4 linked regions of the Arabidopsis thaliana genome follow. The main gene of each other region encodes a partner of the protein of the gene in region 3 in a complex. Each region holds a gene or a part of one and is shown on either strand. Other genes may lie near its edges.

Evidence for each region.
Region 1: RPS17 (region 3) and AT1G64510 share a complex: the UniProt entries of both Arabidopsis thaliana proteins name them as parts of the 30S ribosomal subunit.
Region 2: RPS17 (region 3) and EMB3137 share a complex: the UniProt entries of both Arabidopsis thaliana proteins name them as parts of the 30S ribosomal subunit.
Region 4: RPS17 (region 3) and rps8 share a complex: the UniProt entries of both Arabidopsis thaliana proteins name them as parts of the 30S ribosomal subunit.

What each region holds. Positions count from the first base shown.
Region 1 is NC_003070.9:23,953,771-23,958,858, forward strand, and holds AT1G64510 (Translation elongation factor EF1B/ribosomal protein S6 family protein), read right to left. Parts: upstream 2,535-5,088; 5' UTR 2,508-2,534; coding exon 2,055-2,507; intron 1,466-2,054; coding exon 1,223-1,465; 3' UTR 1,033-1,222; downstream 1-1,032. Other genes in the region: AT1G64500 (Glutaredoxin family protein), read left to right, coding at 1-606; RPN12a (regulatory particle non-ATPase 12A), read left to right, coding at 2,689-2,793, 3,094-3,172, 3,467-3,569, 3,650-3,913, 4,009-4,120, 4,210-4,350. UniProt on the Arabidopsis thaliana protein: Binds together with bS18 to 16S ribosomal RNA.
Region 2 is NC_003076.8:4,616,718-4,621,848, forward strand, and holds EMB3137 (Ribosomal protein S13/S18 family), read right to left. Parts: upstream 2,265-5,131; 5' UTR 2,056-2,264; coding exon 1,939-2,055; intron 1,742-1,938; coding exon 1,517-1,741; coding exon of another isoform or gene 1,472-1,516; exon of another isoform or gene 1,290-1,471; coding exon 1,122-1,289; 3' UTR 706-1,121; downstream 1-705. Other genes in the region: CXE16 (carboxyesterase 16), read left to right, coding at 165-705; AT5G14330 (uncharacterized protein), read right to left, coding at 3,230-3,503, 3,722-3,834. UniProt on the Arabidopsis thaliana protein: Located at the top of the head of the 30S subunit, it contacts several helices of the 16S rRNA.
Region 3 is NC_003070.9:30,040,164-30,044,569, forward strand, and holds RPS17 (ribosomal protein S17), read right to left. Parts: upstream 1,790-4,406; 5' UTR 1,760-1,789; coding exon 1,310-1,759; 3' UTR 1,080-1,309; downstream 1-1,079. Other genes in the region: GL2 (HD-ZIP IV family of homeobox-leucine zipper protein with lipid-binding START domain-containing protein), read left to right, coding at 1-225, 310-396, 470-850; ROPGEF12 (RHO guanyl-nucleotide exchange factor 12), read right to left, coding at 2,009-2,671, 2,771-3,034, 3,141-3,215, 3,301-3,455, 3,539-3,929. UniProt on the Arabidopsis thaliana protein: One of the primary rRNA binding proteins, it binds specifically to the 5'-end of 16S ribosomal RNA. Required for optimal plastid performance in terms of photosynthesis and growth. Required for the translation of plastid mRNAs.
Region 4 is NC_000932.1:78,987-82,351, reverse strand, and holds rps8 (ribosomal protein S8), read left to right. Parts: upstream 1-1,879; coding exon 1,880-2,284; downstream 2,285-3,365. Other genes in the region: rpl14 (ribosomal protein L14), read left to right, coding at 1,288-1,656; rpl36 (ribosomal protein L36), read left to right, coding at 2,750-2,863; rps11 (ribosomal protein S11), read left to right, coding at 2,976-3,365. UniProt on the Arabidopsis thaliana protein: One of the primary rRNA binding proteins, it binds directly to 16S rRNA central domain where it helps coordinate assembly of the platform of the 30S subunit.

The sequences.
Region 1 (5,088 bases), 6.1 Mb from region 3:
CCTCGGTCAGTGAAGGAGAACATATTCGTCAAGAGAGACAGAGAACGGAGGGAGAAAGAAGGGAACAAGAAGCCGGTGATGAACTGGGACCCACTTAGGGAGTTCCCGGAGAAGTGTCCGCCGGGAGGAGGGGAAGGTTTGATTGTCTACACGACGTCGTTGCAAGGAGTGCGTCGCACGTACGAGGATTGTATGCGTGTGAGGGCCATCATGGAGCAGCAAGGAGTTGTGGTGGACGAGAGGGACGTGTCTTTAGACGCCGGAGTCTTGAGCGAGCTTAAGGAGCTTCTCCAAGACGAAGCATCAGTGGCGCCGCCGCGAGTGTTTGTGAAAGGGAGGTACTTGGGAGGAGCAGCGGAAGTGACAGCGATGAATGAGAACGGGAAGTTAGGGAGGGTGTTGCGGTGGGCACGTGTGGAGAGAGTAGGGGAGGAAGGGAGGCTCACGTGTGAAGGGTGCGGAGGAGCGAGGTGGTTGCCTTGTTTCGAGTGCGGCGGAAGCTGTAAGGTGGCGGCGGTTGGGGCGGCCAAAGGTGAAAGGTGGGAGAGGTGTGTCAAGTGTAATGAGAATGGATTGATTCGTTGTCCCGTGTGTTTTGTTAATTAAGAACATTATTAGTTTACACAAGCAAATAGAGGTGTGTCAAATATACTTTGTCCCGTTTGTTTTGTTATATGTATGTGACACGTTTGATTTTGTGGAATTGAAAATGATTTGAAACTATGCTAGGATTTTCATAAAATGTTAAAGCATGAACGTGAACCATTATAATGCTAAGCTTGCAAGGTCTCTCACTCGTATATGTTGATGGTTTTGATCAATTACGTAAAGGAGTTCAACAATCTCACTAATTTAAGTTTGGATCGTCAGAAGGTAAAAGCTGGCAAACAAAGTCACTTCTGCCTGAATACTTTACAAATTTGTTCTTTGTTGCTATTTTGTTTGATTGTTATGCATCCGTTGAGGATTTTGTGCTATGAAACAGAGTAATATGAATTCCATCATTATAGTAACTATGGCAAGTTAGTGTTAGTTAAAATCTTTTAATGAAAATGCATACAAGTATGCTTCTCAAACTTAGCTTTAAGAGTTTCTCACAGTTACATAAGAAAGCAGAGCAATGCACAAAAAAAGATACAAAAAAGATAGATTTACTTTTGTTCTTACAAAGAAACAAAAAAAGAATCTGACATTTTTCTCACATACACAATGTTCATGGTCTTCAGTTGTACTTCCTCTTCTTTATCTTGAAGGAAGATGATCGGATAATGTCATCGTCGGCAGTGAGAACGGTCTCGAGTGGAACTATTGATTCGGGTTTGGTGAAGTAAGTGAAGAGAAGGTAGATTCCATCCAAGTAAGTGTTGGTTTCTCCAGCTTTGTTCTTCTTTCTTATGCTGTAAGCCAACGGAATCACTCCTCTGTTAAACACTTCCACATACATTCCACCTCCTGCCACAAGCAACTGCCACACACACCAAAAAGAAATCCCAGCAACATAATGAATCTTTCAGAGTCTGCACCAACTAAAAACTTCCACTACTCCGAACATAAATTTCAGAATTCCTCATTAGATTAAACATGTGATATAGCGTAAAAGAACCCACGCGTAAACCACAAATGATAACTGTGTATTAGCTCGTTTCGAGCATCAAAGGACATTTCAAGAATTGAGTTAAAATGTTATGGTAAAACATGACTAAAAAACTAAGAAGTGCACTAAGGGCTCCTATCTTGTTTCAAATGGTTGAGACTTAAAGAATTCACAGCCCACAGAAGGATGAGATTTGCTCTTAGAAAGTTAAACTCTTTACTTCAATTTTAACAAGGAGTCGTCACAAACATTCAATTGATAGCTGCAAGTTACACAACTCTACATTGAAACCATTTTCTCTTGCTTTGTCATTAACGTGTAAGAACAGACACAAGATACAACTTTTAGTGATCTCTTACTCAACTTCTAATTGAATCCTAAAATCTCTTTCTCTCTCAAATAATCAAATTTCCCTCTGACATGAAACAGAAAACAGGTAAAGTTGGAGACTTTTACTTACCTCTTCGTATTTCTGGGTAAGACCAAGCCGTTCATCTTCAGACATGTCTGGTCTCAAAACCGCCATTGTTTCGTACTGCCTGAGCCCAGGTGGGCACTGAGGTTCCGGTTTGTCTTCAAGGGCAGTTGAGACTCCCGACCCGGAAGGAGAAGTCGGGTCATCATCCGACCCGAATCCACCTTCAAAGAAAGTTCCAGAGAAGTCAAGAGCCTGAGATTTCACCACAAATTGAGAGCCATCTCTCTTCTGTATCGAGGCACACATAGGTTTCGACTTGGAAATGAATGGCCTGAGAGAGTGGGAGAATGATAGCAGCGGCTGCGAAGATACATTAGGCAGAGGGCAAATTGTGGAATTTGATACACACAGCGAAGACGCCATTGTTGTGAGATTGTGAAAGCAAAGAGGAGATGAGAGAGTAAAATTTGGATAAGAGATGATGATGGTACACATTAGTCAGAATTCTATTGTACACCATGGGCCTTTTTAGGTTATTGGGCCTGTTAAAGGCCCGTTTTGTAAAGACAATTATTTCTATCTGTATTATTTGTCTTCGCGATCAAGCCAGTTCTCGGAGCAATCAAATCTATAAGAAAAGAATCGTCGCCGGTGAAGAGAAAAAACCATAGAAGCGATGGATCCGCAGCTAACTGAAGTTTCACAGCAGTTCGAGAGATTCAAGGCGGCGTTTGCGAGGAAGGATTACAATACCTGTAGCGATCTGTTGTCTCAGCTTAAGGTCTACATCTCTCTCTCTTCTTTGAACCCTAATTTGTTTCAATTCACTTCTTTGCATATCTGCTTATTGAACCAACTTTGGGAAAATTGATGGGTTATGTCGCGAGAGTTTAAATCTATGAGAGCTTTGATTTATTGAAGTGAGAATTTTTAGCATATAAGTGTGTTAAGGATCTTTTAGAAGAGCTAAGTGCTATGAAATTTTTAACTTTCTACTTTAAGGGATTGTTGGGATTGGTTTAGATTTACAATTTACTGGTGCGAGTCTCTGATGTCGCTGGGGTTTTGTTGTGTTCTTCAGGTTCTTCTTACCAAATTCACAAGTCTTCCTCCATTGTTCGAGAATTCACCTAATGCAGCCAAGGAATTGACTATTGCAAGTAAGTTTCTCTTTTTCATTATTGGTTTTACATGAGCTATTTGCTAGTAAGTTTAGAGTTTTGCTTTCAATTGCATGGAGTGTTTTGGATTTGTCTATTCTCATGAGTTATTTGTTAACTATACTTAAATACCACTGAAGAGTGTCTGAGGGATTGTACTGCTTTAGTTTGTCTGTCTATCCCTATATGTATACATTAATCGTTGAATGCTGCATTGGTTTGGATTGAGTTATTGGTAATTTTTGTTCTTATTGATTATCCGTTTCTAAAACTTTGACAATTGGTGTATTCTAGGGGACATTTATGAGCATGCTGTTGTTCTAAGCGTCAAAACCGAGGATCAAGATGCTTTTGAGAGAGATTTCTTCCAGCTGAAACCTTACTATGTGGATGCCAGGTAAAGAAAGAACCAACTGTCTGAACATTATCTTTTTCATTTTCTTTTGGTCTAACATATCTTCTTTTCCTCTGCACCAGGAACCGTATTCCTCAGTCTCCACAGGAGAATCTTATCCTGGGTCTTAACCTTCTGAGGCTGCTGGTACAAAATAGAATTGCTGAATTCCACACCGAGCTTGAATTACTTTCATCAGCTACACTAGAGGATCCTTGCATCAAGCATGCAGTAGAGCTTGAGCAATCCTTCATGGAGGGTGCCTATAACCGTGTGTTGAGTGCTAGACAGACCGCGCCTGATGCAACTTACGTCTATTTCATGGATCTCTTGGCAAAGACCATAAGGTAGCATCAATGAGTCTGTCCTTCTCTGAATTAGTTCAGTCTTATGTCTTCTCGCGTGTTATCTCACCTTTTTATTGTTATGACTGAATTCACAGAGATGAAATAGCTGGATGCAGCGAGAAAGCTTATGATTATGTCTCTATCAGCGATGCCCGGCAGATGTTGTTGTTCTCTTCTGATCAAGAACTCTTAACCTATGTCACAGATGTAAGAGAAAAAACATTTTGTGCAAAGTTTAGAATCTTTTTTAGTTTCATGAACCATTGACGCGATTTAGGTTTTATCAAATCTTATAGGAGCATCCTGAGTGGGAAGTGAAGGAAGGGTTTGTTGTCTTCCAGAAAGCCAAAGAAACTGCACCGTGCAAAGAGATTCCGTCTCTGCAACTCATCAACCAGACTCTAAGCTACGCCAGAGAGCTGGAGCGTATCGTGTAAGATTCGACTTTTCTCACTGCTTGTCTCTTCTCTTCTGTTATGTTCCTGGAAATCTCTGGGTCAGAAAACTTTGTTATCATGTAATGACCGATATTGAGCGACTCAGTATTTTCTCCGGGTCAATGAGACTTTGTTGTGATATCAATCTGTTTTTCCATATCCTTTTACGTTATATTCTATTGTTTAGTGTTCACTCGTTTTCAATTGGAGACTCTGTCCTCCTCACTTTGATGCTTTGCTTGAACATGATGTCCATAATTCTAGGGGTGTTCAAAACTAGGTATAGTTTGGAATTCAGAGTTACCGTGGTCCGGGATACTCAATTTCGGTTTGGTTTGCGGTGGAATGTTTTAGTTCAGTTTGGTTATTTGAATTTGGGTTTGGTTTAGTTGTGGATGAAAAGGACAGATTTGGAGAGCCTCTAACGTAGTGTAGCCGGGGCCTTCCTTCCTTTGATGAACAACCTAGTCCAAATATGGAAGAAGGAAGGAAGGATTGTCATTACAGAACAAGGGACACACAATTGTCAATTGCCAAACACTCATCAACTTGAAACAAGTGGGGATTTACGTTGCAAGCATTTCTTCTCCTTGGGGTTAAAATATTGATTAACAGCTAAATAACAAATTAGGGAAGTTATTATAACATTAAAAGAAAGAATAATCACGATTAGATGTCCCCACTAGGAAAACAAGTTACTGTTAATAAAAATTTTATGTATTGCAAAAGGGCTTAAGT
Region 2 (5,131 bases), on a different chromosome or scaffold from region 3:
AAGATCTTAAGAATAGTTTCATGTTGATCTAGGAGTAACTTGGTACAAAGTCAGGATTCTTTGGACAACTAGTTAGATGAACTAAGATAGCTTATCTTCCATTGATTGCAATCTCACATCAACTTCTGTGTCTCAACCTGTTGCTTCATATGATGTTAAAACAGATGTGTTCTTCTCGGGGTGAGCTGTGGTGGGAACATAGCAGACTATGTAGCTCGGAAAGCAGTGGAAGCTGGGAAACTTCTAGAACCGGTGAAAGTTGTTGCACAGGTTCTAATGTACCCCTTTTTCATTGGAAACAACCCAACACAGTCCGAAATAAAGCTGGCAAACTCTTACTTCTACGATAAGCCTGTCTCTGTTCTAGCCTGGAAACTCTTCTTACCAGAGAAAGAGTTCGACTTTGACCACCCGGCAGCAAACCCACTTGCCCATAACCGCAGTGGACCACCTCTGAAGCTAATGCCTCCAACACTTACAGTAGTAGCTGAGCATGACTGGATGAGAGACCGAGCCATTGCTTATTCAGAAGAGCTTAGAAAGGTAAACGTAGATTCTCCAGTTTTAGAATACAAAGACGCAGTTCATGAGTTTGCTACACTTGATATGCTTCTCAAGACTCCTCAGGCACAGGCCTGCGCCGAAGATATTGCCATTTGGGTCAAGAAATACATTTCACTCCGCGGCCATGAGTTCTCTTACTGAAAATTTTTACCCTGTTATTATTCATTTTCTTCCTTTTTTTTGTGTGATAGCAAGATTTTCTGGGTAGGATTAGAGACAATCCAAGATCGAGTCTTTTGGCAAAAGCTATAAAATTTTATTTTTTGGTTACTTATGTATTCATATGTACGTATTCTGAATAAACCATTTTTGGTTCGACCAAATTTTCAAGTTTGTTCTTGGTTTGTCATCATTCTTGAATGCTGAAATCTTCAACTTCTTTTGTAACTTTATAATGAATGATGAAGATACGGAATAATAATAGCTAAAAAGCCGAAGATAAACTGGAAAGGGCTCAGTTCGAACAAAGGTTTGGGAATTACAAATCACATTTAAACAGAGATGACTAGACAAACTAAAAAGAGTATTACAGAAGAAGAAGGAGATCATGAAGATGATTACTTGGAAACTTTCTTCTTCCCTGCAATAGCAATTTTCTTGCCTTTAAGAGTCCTGCAGTTGTTCTTGGTTCTCTGTCCCCGACATGGCAGCCCTTGGATGTGCCTTACCCCACGGTAACACTGGATCTCCTTCAACCTCTTGATTGCAAGAGCATTGAACCTCCTCTGCACAACATCCACAACACAAATCAATAATTCATTCACAAAGGCCTAAGAACCAAATCAAAACAAGAGGAAACCCAAACTAAAGCAATGAAAACACCAAATAGATAGCAGCCTAAGTTCTTCTCCAATCTTCAAGAAACTGCTCGAGAATGGACTGACAGAAACTGAAACTATGATGCACATTACTCATGTCCTAAAGTGTGTAAATGTAAGGGAAAGTGTATTACCAGATCACCCTCAATCATGTACTTGGAGACTTCATCACGAAGAATGATGAGTTCTTCCTCAGCCATGTCTTTAGTAATCTTGTTCTCCATCTGAAGATCAACAAGAATCTGACGAGCCCTAGTTCGACCAATCCCATGAATGTACTGAAGAGAGTACTCAATTCTCTTATTAGCCGGAATCTCCACTCCACCAACACGAGCACATCTGATGCTTAGACTCTGCTTCTGCATTTCATTACAAAAAAAAAAAAAAACTTTAAAAACACAGAGACAAATTCCCCCAAAAATTGATGGAGTGTTCTATAACCACCCCTAACCCAAAAATTGACGAACAAGAATGAAGTAACACATAAAAAAACATGAAGTCAAGCTCGATAAATTACAACATCATACGCAAGAGAGAGTCCAAGAGAAATGATTACATTGGGAGTGTTTGAAGCTGGGAGGGCAAGAGTGTTGCGAGAGAGAGGATTGGATTTTGCCCAATTGCAAATGAGTGAGAGCGAGTGCGCTACGGGCATCGCAACCATCTGCGCCATTGTTATGTTCTCTTCCTAGGAATTTCGGATTCTGGGAAACTAATTCAGAGGTGACGAAGAAGAAGAAGAAGATGAGCTGAACGGATAAGGCAAACGTCGAATCCAAACGCTTCTCTTGTTTTTGCTCCGTCTCTACTTACTCTATTCAATTAATTGCTTACAAAACTGGCAAAATAAATACTTGTTGGGCTTTGTTTTTTGTTGAGATAGGCTCGCTATTGTATAACACGGCCCAACTAGTGGACTATAACAAAAATGCAAAAACCGAGTGGACTATAATAAAGTGATACAACTATAAAATGAAAAAAAAAATGATTTACAGATATTTTCTTAACAACTAAGATGAATGGTGTGATCAATGACACACATTTGATCAGAAGACGAAAGGCATGAGCCTTGGCTCCATGTGGGCACGTAGCTATTGAGGATAGAGTCATGATAGAAAAAGATTGTATAAAAAAAATGGTAAGTGTATAGATGAAAAGTCAACGGATGAGAATGAGTCTTGTTAACTATTTATCGAGATGGTCGTTCACTTCGTTATTGTCACATGTTGTTGTATTTTAAGGTGTTTGGGGATTTTTTCCATCTTGCATATATATCTGATTCATTGGAGTTGTACACTTGTACTCATGGTTTTGTTGGCAAGTTTACTACAATATTTCGAGTGTTTTCATGATGTTTATTGTTTCGTACTTTACACATGAAACTAGTTTAAAGCTTGTCGTTCTTCTAATAAGGATATCACTCATTGATTTTGACACCAACGTCTGAATAGTGAATACACCATTATTTGTTGAGGCGTACCCATTACTGTCACGTAAGGCCTGCATTTCATTATTTTGTTTAGGCTGACCCAATTTATTTTATATATTTACTTCGGATATTTATCTATTCTATAACCTTAAGATGAATTAGTTGATTTTAAAAAGAAAGTCCACCTTTTCTCAAACGGGCCATTATAATGCCTTGATTAGAAGATTTGGTTCGAAAAAGAGGAAAATATGATTAAGATAATAAAAAAAACATCAAGAGATAAATGTTTTATTATGATAGGAACACAACATCACAATCTTTGAAGAATTAACAAAAAAAGAAGGAATACATGTGAAAATTAAAATAAAATCTCATAGAGAGTAAAACATATTCTGAAGATGAATGGCAACACATCTCATCAGAAGACGAAAGACATAGCAGCGACCAATGCGGTGGCGATGAGCTGAGGGTAGGCGGAGAAAGTGGCGGCACTTGGAGACGGAGCCTTAGCCATGGGTGGCATTGGAGCCATAGCCGGACCATGGTGGTGGGTTCCGTTGTGCGACTCAGCAGTCATGACCATCACGGCCAAGACAATGCAGATGAAGGCGAAGCGGATCAAAGAACTTCTTGGTGCCATTTGAATGTTCTTCTCCTTTTTCTTCTTATTTGGTTTCTTTCTTTGTTGTTCTCTGTATGATCTATCAACAAAGGGGGTCGAATTTATAGAGAGAGAGAGGGGTCCTATAAAAAATGTTTAGTGGGTTAAAAGTCAACGCATGTGAATGAGTCATGATGTTGAGACGACCTAAATTCGTTATAATTTACATGTTGTTTACTTGAATATTTAAAAAAATGGAAAAAAGGACAGAGTGATCATGGTTATGTGTTTGAATTTGTTAGTGGACACCCATTTATATGTTCGTGAATGTTCTGCCGTTCTGGAACAGCTGTTACATAAGAGGGACGTTTCTTGACTAAGCCAAATTGACCCGGTTTGATTAGGGATTGATTCCAATCCATGTTCTGTTGCCGGAGACCAAAGAAAATGGTGTCTTTTGTGAGGCCGATCAGGGGCTTTGGCTCTTGATGAAGTTCAAAAAGAATAGAAATGTTAGCGTTGGTGATAGTTTGATATTTCCAATAAAGCATTCCAACTGTACCAACAAGTTTTAAAGATCAAACATCCGAAAGTACTATACAATCATTCTTGAAACTTGAAAGCAAACCAGTAAAACTTAAAAAGTAACACCATGATTCTTTTAACTAAATTTAGCAAATGTTATTATTAATATGATTATTTATCTGTTTGAAAAAACTGTAATTCTAGTAAACAAACAAATAATAAAAAGAAAATTATTTGATAAAACGGTAGATACAGTATGTTTGCAAAGAAAAAATTAGTTAACGAATGGAAAGGAGAAACTGATATGCTAAACGAATATTCTACGTAACGCTATCCATAACTACAGTTACAATTTTTAGGCCCAATTAGTGACTATATGAAGATTAAGTTGGACCTAAAGAGACAGTGCTTTTTAGTGGGCCTAAATATGATTCTGGTCCCTTGCATTAATAATTTTTCTTACACATCGTAGGCTCCGTATATACTCTTTTTCCCAACGGTCTCTCACGTATTATTTATTGTTTTTGTGATTTTGTCGAGGTCCCTCTCATATACAACAATACTCTTCTATATTACATTTTTCTAAATTTTAGTTCAGTTCAGTGCACCAAAACAAAAACGAATATTTGGTTAGCTGCAATTTTATTTTCTTGATGTACCACACAAAAGTTAAATATATTGAAGTATAGTAAGTTTGTTGACTACCTATAATGTAAGCTATACGGAAAAGAAAGATGTATGTATATATATATACATACACGTCGACTATAAATCAAATATCTAATTTCTTTTAACGTCTAATAAGTAATAATCGATCGGTTACCTAGGTTTCTATAGTACTTTAATGGAAATTGTAATGTTTACATTATCTGTTTATCACATTACATTATATATGAGTCATGGCGGGTTTTTTTTTCTTTGGGTGTTAATTAAGAGTGTGGCATGAAGGGTTAAATATTCAATTAAGGAAAAACTAATGCAATTTGGTTATATAATTTGTTTTCCTAACAGATTTCTAAATTTAGGTTGGTAATTAAACATTATAATAGACTAGGACATATAGCCTAATGTCTTTCAGAATTGATCTATAATTAGATAGATTTCTAATATTTGATCCCTATTTGGATATATGCACATACCTTCAAGTACATGGCGAATATTCCTCCATGCATTAACGCGAAACCCCACTCCGTA
Region 3 (4,406 bases):
AGAATGACACAAAGCTTCTACCGCGCCATTGCTGCATCAAGCTACCATCAATGGACCAAAATCACCACCAAAACTGGACAAGACATGCGGGTTTCTTCCAGGAAGAACCTTCATGATCCTGGCGAGCCCACGGGAGTCATTGTCTGCGCTTCTTCTTCGCTGTGGTTACCTGTTTCTCCAGCTCTTCTCTTCGATTTCTTTAGAGATGAAGCTCGTCGGCATGAGGTACCTTGTCAAATTCACACACATTTAAGCAAACAAGAAAAGCGGTTTCCACTCATATATTTATCTAACGATACATATCATCAGTGGGATGCTTTGTCAAACGGAGCTCATGTTCAGTCTATTGCAAACTTATCCAAGGGACAAGACAGAGGCAACTCAGTGGCAATCCAGGTGCGTTTATTTTGTCTTCTCCTCCTCTAAATCTGTCTAGGCCTTGATAATCTGAATTTCTATACATTTCCAGACAGTGAAATCGAGAGAAAAGAGCATATGGGTGCTGCAAGACAGCAGCACTAACTCGTATGAGTCGGTGGTGGTATACGCTCCCGTAGATATAAACACGACACAGCTGGTGCTCGCGGGACATGATCCAAGCAACATCCAAATCCTCCCCTCTGGATTCTCAATCATACCTGATGGAGTAGAGTCACGGCCACTGGTAATAACGTCTACACAAGACGACAGAAACAGCCAAGGAGGGTCGCTCCTGACACTCGCCCTCCAAACCCTCATCAACCCTTCTCCTGCAGCAAAGCTGAATATGGAGTCTGTGGAATCCGTGACAAACCTCGTCTCAGTCACACTACACAACATTAAGAGAAGTCTACAAATCGAAGATTGCTGATGACAAGTCACAGCAGATATTATTTACCTATATATAATTATATGATAATGTATAGCAGCAGTGCATTAAAGTTTTGTACAAAAACGACCAGCTCTCTCTTCTCCAATCCTATTATTATCCAACACCTTTTTGGTCCATTCCATTGGCAAATGAACCATAACAAGAGGAGCAAGAACCGTAGAATTAGCAGAAACAAAAGTCGGATCACTGAGACCACAAGCACACAGTAGCAACAGAAACATATTAATTCACATTCTAAATGTAACTGGAGGTGAAGATGAAGTAAGAGCAAACAATTGGTAGTCGGAAACAATCAGATTGAAAACACACTCATGGCATAAGCAATGAAATCACAAAAGCATTCCATAAATTACACTGGTTCCGGGATACACAACAAACAAACAGAAGCAGAGCAAAAAAAAGACGGCTTTACCAAAAGAAACAAAGAGCAATCATTCTCTACGCCGGCTGCTGAGACTCCAAGGGAAGGCCAAGGAGTTCATCTCCTCCGGCTTCGGCTTTCCTGGCGGCCCTTGCGATGACAGGAAGCGCCACAAATGATTTAGTCTTACTGATGGGTCTGCTCTTTTCCAGTCTGACCACGTCGCCAACCTTGAACTGATTATCGGGGTCGTGAGCTTGGTACTTCTTCTTCATCCTCACGCGCCTCTTGTACTTGGGGTGGGGAGCCAGCCTCACCACCTCCACCGCCACAGTCTTGTCACTGGTTGCGCACACCACGCGCCCCTGCATCGTTTTCATGGCTCTGATGACCGGAACTAAAGCGGGCATTCTGTGGTTCGGGAAGGAATTGGGCTTAGAGAGAGATGAGAGAGGAGTGGAGCCATGGGCGAACGGAGACGAAAGCTTGAGAGCTTGCAGAGATGAGGTTAGGGACGACGTTATCATCCTTCCGATTTGGAATCGAATCGATGAAAATGAAGATAAGGTGAGTACTACTACTATTTAGAAGGGATGTATACAGTATACAGATGGTAAATGGGTTTTACAATAAACTGGGCCTAATCTTAAAAGCCCACCTTTTCATAAAAAGGAATTTACAAAAGCCCTTTTGTAAAGTTTTTGAATCCTAAAAATAATTAAATAATCAATAAATCTGTCTTCGCTCTTTTTTGCGCCTAATTTTCCACACAAATATCAATGCCGTGCCGTTGGACTCTTGACACCGCCTAGGGTTTCGAGGTATGAGGTCTTCTTGGTCGTGACGACGCTTAGCTTCTCCTTTATCAACGGATCATCCGGTAGATCCTTCTTCGACTCCAATTCGGCGTTCGCGGCCTGATCGAAGTCCCATCCCATGAAATCCGACAGCGTCATGCTCCCAACCAGCGTCTCTTCCTCTGCTTCCAATGGCGTGTTCCTCTTGTTCCCCGCTCGATCTGCCTCTAAAACGTCATCGATTCTGGAAAGTACCGTGTAGGCCAAGCTTTCCAGTATTCTCGAGTAGCTCTCCAGCACCGCCTGGCCCACGTCCTCGTTGAACTGGATTTTGCTGATGTCGAGTGAAGATTGAGAAATCCCGGGGTATCTTTGCTTGAGAATGAGCAAAATGGTCTCAGCTCGCTCTTCGAAGACCTCTCGCTTCTCCAGACTTACTCCGGAGGCCCAGGGTGCCGATGATTTGTTGTCTTTATAAACCATTTTGCGTTTCCATATAATGATTGATGCCTCGATTCTGTTTTTGAGGTCCACGATCTTGTGCTCCGACGACATGTCCATGCTGCTCAGGAACTGGTCCGGGTCAAAGAAGTCCACCGTTATATTCTTGTACATCTGATCCCCGAGACTCGCCCTCCCGTTCTGTTTATTTATTTATTACAAACTAAACAAGTGAGTATTATTCTTCATCAACTCTTCTAATCAATAACATCAATTGTTGGTGTCTTTTTTTTTTTTTACCTTTGGGAGAGAGTCGATGTAGCTCTCAGGTATCTCCATCTCGAACAAAACCTGTGCGTTTATGGCCATGGCTGCCTTTAGAACCTGGTTTACACAATCTTTCTGGTACTGCAAAAACCTTCTTGAAGCTTCTGATAGACCATCTGGTGGAACTTTGACGGTCGGAATCCACCATTTTTCGTCGTTTCTCTTACCGTCTAAGTCAGGGGAGTCTTTTGAGATATAGCTGAACTCGCTTTGGTCCTTGAAATTTTCTAGACAATCCTAGGTAGAAAAGGGGGATAAGAGGATGCTTTTGAATATCCTAAATGAAATTATTAAAGTAGGGTTGATATTTGGTCAACGAGAGAGAGAGAGAGAGAGGTCTTACGATGAGCATGGCGTCCAGTTTCTTCAATGCGGGGATATTCATGTGGAGGTCAGTACGTTGGCGTGTGGTCATTATCTGTTAAATCAATACCAACAGAATAAGGGAATCATTGTATGTTACCAAATGAAATATAATGCAGCAGCAGCAGCAGATAGACAACCTCCATATTGGTCCCATCTTTATTTTTCTGCTGAGATGGAGCAAACTCAACCACGTAATCGGTCACGGAGAGAAGCCAATCAATCTCTTTTCTCCATCTTGCTCTTCTTTCTGCAGGCATTGGCTCCAAGCGCCGTTGCTCTCCGAACACGGAAGCTATACCAACAAGATAAACATGAGATATTGGTTGCTGGTTAATATAAACTAAGTGTAATAACAAAAGAGGGTCCTAAAGCAACCTGCAAGGTTTGTGATTGCGTTTGAAAGGGCGAGAGCAGAGGATACTCCTTTGCCTCCACCGGAATTGTCCTCTCCCAGCAACAGCTTGGAGAAGCGCTCTTTCATCTGCTCCATGTCTGCCAAAAGCTGCCTTTCTCTAGCCTGTGAGGCGGCGAGGGCGGCGAGGACTGCTTCATCCGCAGCCGATCTTGAAAGTGGTGGACCCTGACTAGGATGAATAATGGTCAATGGTTCAGCGTCATGGGATCCGGTGGCAGCCTCATCTAAACCGGTCTCGACGCTGAGACTCTTGTTGTGTCTCGTAGCACTATTGTTGTCGTTGTTCCTCCATTTGAAATTGAAGAGCCTGCTCCTATAGGTTTCCTGTTCTTGTTCCGAAGCACGAACCATTCCTGGTCTCTTGATGGCAATAGAGAATTAGAGAGGAGAGAGAGAGAAAGAGAGAGGATCAAATGGGCCTCTCTTGAGATGGGGAGAATCAAAAGGGAAGGAGAAGCTAATCGAGCCGCAAAACAATAAAGGGTAATTGTTACAGTGATTTTGGCTTTGAGAAAATTGTGGAGCTTTCTTCTTTTGCTTCCTTTTTTTGGAAGATGGGACGTGGGGCGCATGTTTCAGACCACACCTCTTAATTTTAACTAATCATTATTTAGGATTTTGAACATTGATAATTAGAGATAGAGAGCCGTTTAAATTATAAAATGTTATCATATAGTAACATACTAAAATGTGATTACACCCTTGTCACTGGATTCCCTAAACATGCAATGTCAACGGGGAATCTGCTACGTTTCCATACACATACAGTGTATGTCTTCTTGTGTTTGTATCATGTTCATGAATCCTACAACAATTTGCATGAATATC
Region 4 (3,365 bases), on a different chromosome or scaffold from region 3:
ATTATTCCAATTTGGAAAGTCTATGAGGTCACTGTAAGAAAAGCAATGTAATAAAGCATCAATACAGATTCATTCAGAATAATTAGATAAATCTGTTCCGAAAACAAAAAAAATTAAGAGCCTTGAGCCAATAAAAACTAAGAAAATTGACTCAAAAACAAATAAAAAAAATGAAATTCCCGATTTCATATAAGAGCTCCATTGTAGAATTCGGGCCTAATGATTAATCAAGAAGCGATGGGAACGACGGAACCCATGAATATAGAGGATTCTATTGAAAAATAAATCTTAGTAATTCATTGGACAGGATGGCGGAATAAACCAGATTATTATCTATTCTTATTTTTATTCAGAGATCTCCTGGGATAAACAACAAACTTAATATAGATATTGAAAGAGTAAATATTCGCCGGCGAATACTTTTTTTTTAATAAAAGTAATAAAAAACAAAAATTAAAAAGATAAAAGAAAATAAGGATTTGTTAGAATATTCTAACAAAAACGACATTCGAGATGATGATATTACGTTACGTTATTTTTAAATAAATAGAATTAATCTTGGATTCCATTTCGAAAAAGACATACACAAATTTAGAAGAGATCAGATGAAATTGAATATCATGATTAATAGAATTAATCATTAACTATATCTTAATACAAGCTTTTTTAGTCCTTTTATTCGCGAGGAGCTGGATGAGAAGAAACTCTCACGTTCAGTTCTGTAGTAGAGATGGAATTTCTAATTTAGAACCATCAACTATAACCCAAAAAGAACCAGATTTCGTAAACAACATCGAGGAAGACTAAAAGGAATATCTTCTCGTGGGAATCGTATTTGTTTTGGCAGATATGCTCTTCAAACACTTGAACCCGCTTGGATCACATCTAGACAAATAGAAGCAGGGCGACGCGCAATGACACGAAATGTACGACGTGGTGGAAAAATTTGGGTACGTATATTTCCAGACAAACCAGTTACAGTAAGACCTGCGGAAACGCGTATGGGTTCTGGGAAAGGATCCCCTGAGTATTGGGTAGCTGTGGTTAAACCAGGTAAAATCCTTTATGAAATGGGTGGTGTACCCGAAAATATAGCAAGAAAAGCTATTTCAATAGCGGCATCAAAAATGCCTATAAAAACCCAATTCATTATTTCTGAATAGGAATATATAATGAAAAAACTAAATAACATTTAAGGGTAAAAAGATTATAAGTTTTCTTTTTTTGACAAACAATATTTTTTTACTTCGTCCTTTGCATTAAAAGAAGAGATACAAAAAAAATGATATGATTCAACCACAAACCTATTTGAATGTAGCAGACAACAGCGGGGCTAGAGAATTGATGTGTATTCGAATAATAGGAGCTAGTAATCGCCGATATGCTCATATTGGTGACGTTATTGTTGCTGTAATCAAAGAAGCAATACCAAATACTCCTCTAGAAAGATCAGAAGTGATTAGAGCTGTAATTGTACGTACTTGTAAAGAACTCAAACGTAACAATGGGACGATAATACGATATGATGACAATGCCGCAGTTGTCATTGATCAAGAAGGAAATCCAAAAGGAACTCGAGTTTTTGGGGCGATCCCACGGGAATTGAGACAATTAAACTTTACTAAAATAGTTTCATTAGCTCCTGAGGTATTATAAGATCTAAATATCGATAGCGATAGTTAGTATCGGATTAAAAAAACAGGTATTGAAATAAAATTAATTAATAGATTCTGTATCACGCATATACCCTTAATAATAAAATATTAAGAATTTAATTCATATATTAATATATAATTCGTCTATATCTATATATAAATAAAAGAAAAAGAACATGTTGATTATATCAAAATTATAGAACAATAAGGAATTTTAACTTATCATGGGGAAAGACACCATTGCTGATATAATAACCTCTATACGAAATGCTGACATGAATAGAAAAGGAACGGTTCGGATAGGATCGACTAACATCACGGAAAGTATTGTTAAAATCCTTTTACGAGAGGGTTTTATCGAAAACGTAAGGAAACATCGCGAAAACAACCAATATTTTTTGATTTTAACCCTAAGACATAGACGAAATAAGAAAGAATCCTACAAAACGATTTTAAATTTAAAGAGAATAAGTCGACCGGGTCTACGAATCTATTCTAACTCTCAACGAATTCCACGAATTTTAGGCGGAATAGGAATTGTAATCCTTTCGACTTCTCAAGGTATAATGACAGACCGAGAAGCTCGACTAAAAAGAATCGGCGGAGAAATTTTGTGTTATATATGGTAATCCTTCTAATATAAAAATTAGATATCTGTAACTTACAATTTGTGAAAAAAGGGGGTTGTGTAATACCACCCCTGTTCAAAAAAGTTTCGGATGTTTTACTTCGAATGAAATTAAAGAAAAAATGAATTAATAAAAGTTTTCTTTCTTAATCACTTCCGAACGGCATGGTTCGATTTTGTTTAGATACTAAAGATTTTTTTTCGTTCATGCTTCTGAAAGGATTCGACATATTTTTGTATAGGTATACCTATAGGATAAAAAGGTAAAATTTTGAGTAAGTTCTTAAGTATAAGTTAATAAGGGGACAGCCATTTTCTAGACTCCATAATAAGTATTCAAATGAGTAAGTGTTTTTTCAATTTCAACCATTCCTTTCACGAAGATACAATTCAAGATTCAAAAATATCAAGAAACCTTTTTTTCGTCCACCAATAAATATATTCACAGAATTAAGGAATAACAACTATGAAAATAAGGGCTTCCGTTCGTAAAATTTGTGAAAAGTGTCGACTAATCCGCAGGAGGGGACGAATTATAGTAATTTGTTCCAACCCGAGGCATAAACAAAGACAAGGATAATCTTACTAAAGGAACTAAAGTAAAAGAAAAGGCACTTCCAAAGAGTTGGAAAAAAGGGTCTATTTTGACCTGAAATGGATATATCCATATATTTCTTGTGAAATGAAAAAAAATGGCAAAACCTATATTAAGAATTGGTTCGCGTAAAAATACACGTAGTGGTTCACGTAAAAATGTACGTAGAATACCAAAGGGAGTTATTCATGTTCAAGCAAGTTTCAACAATACCATTGTAACCGTTACAGATGTACGGGGTCGGGTGATTTCTTGGTCCTCCGCAGGTACTTGTGGATTCCGGGGTACAAGAAGAGGAACACCCTTTGCTGCCCAAACCGCAGCAGGAAATGCTATTCGAGCAGTAGTGGATCAAGGTATGCAACGAGCTGAAGTAAGGATAAAAGGCCCTGGACTCGGAAGAGATGCGGCATTACGAGCTATTCGTAGAAGCGGTATACTTTTAAGTTTCGTACGAGATGTAACCCCTATGCCACATAATGGTTGT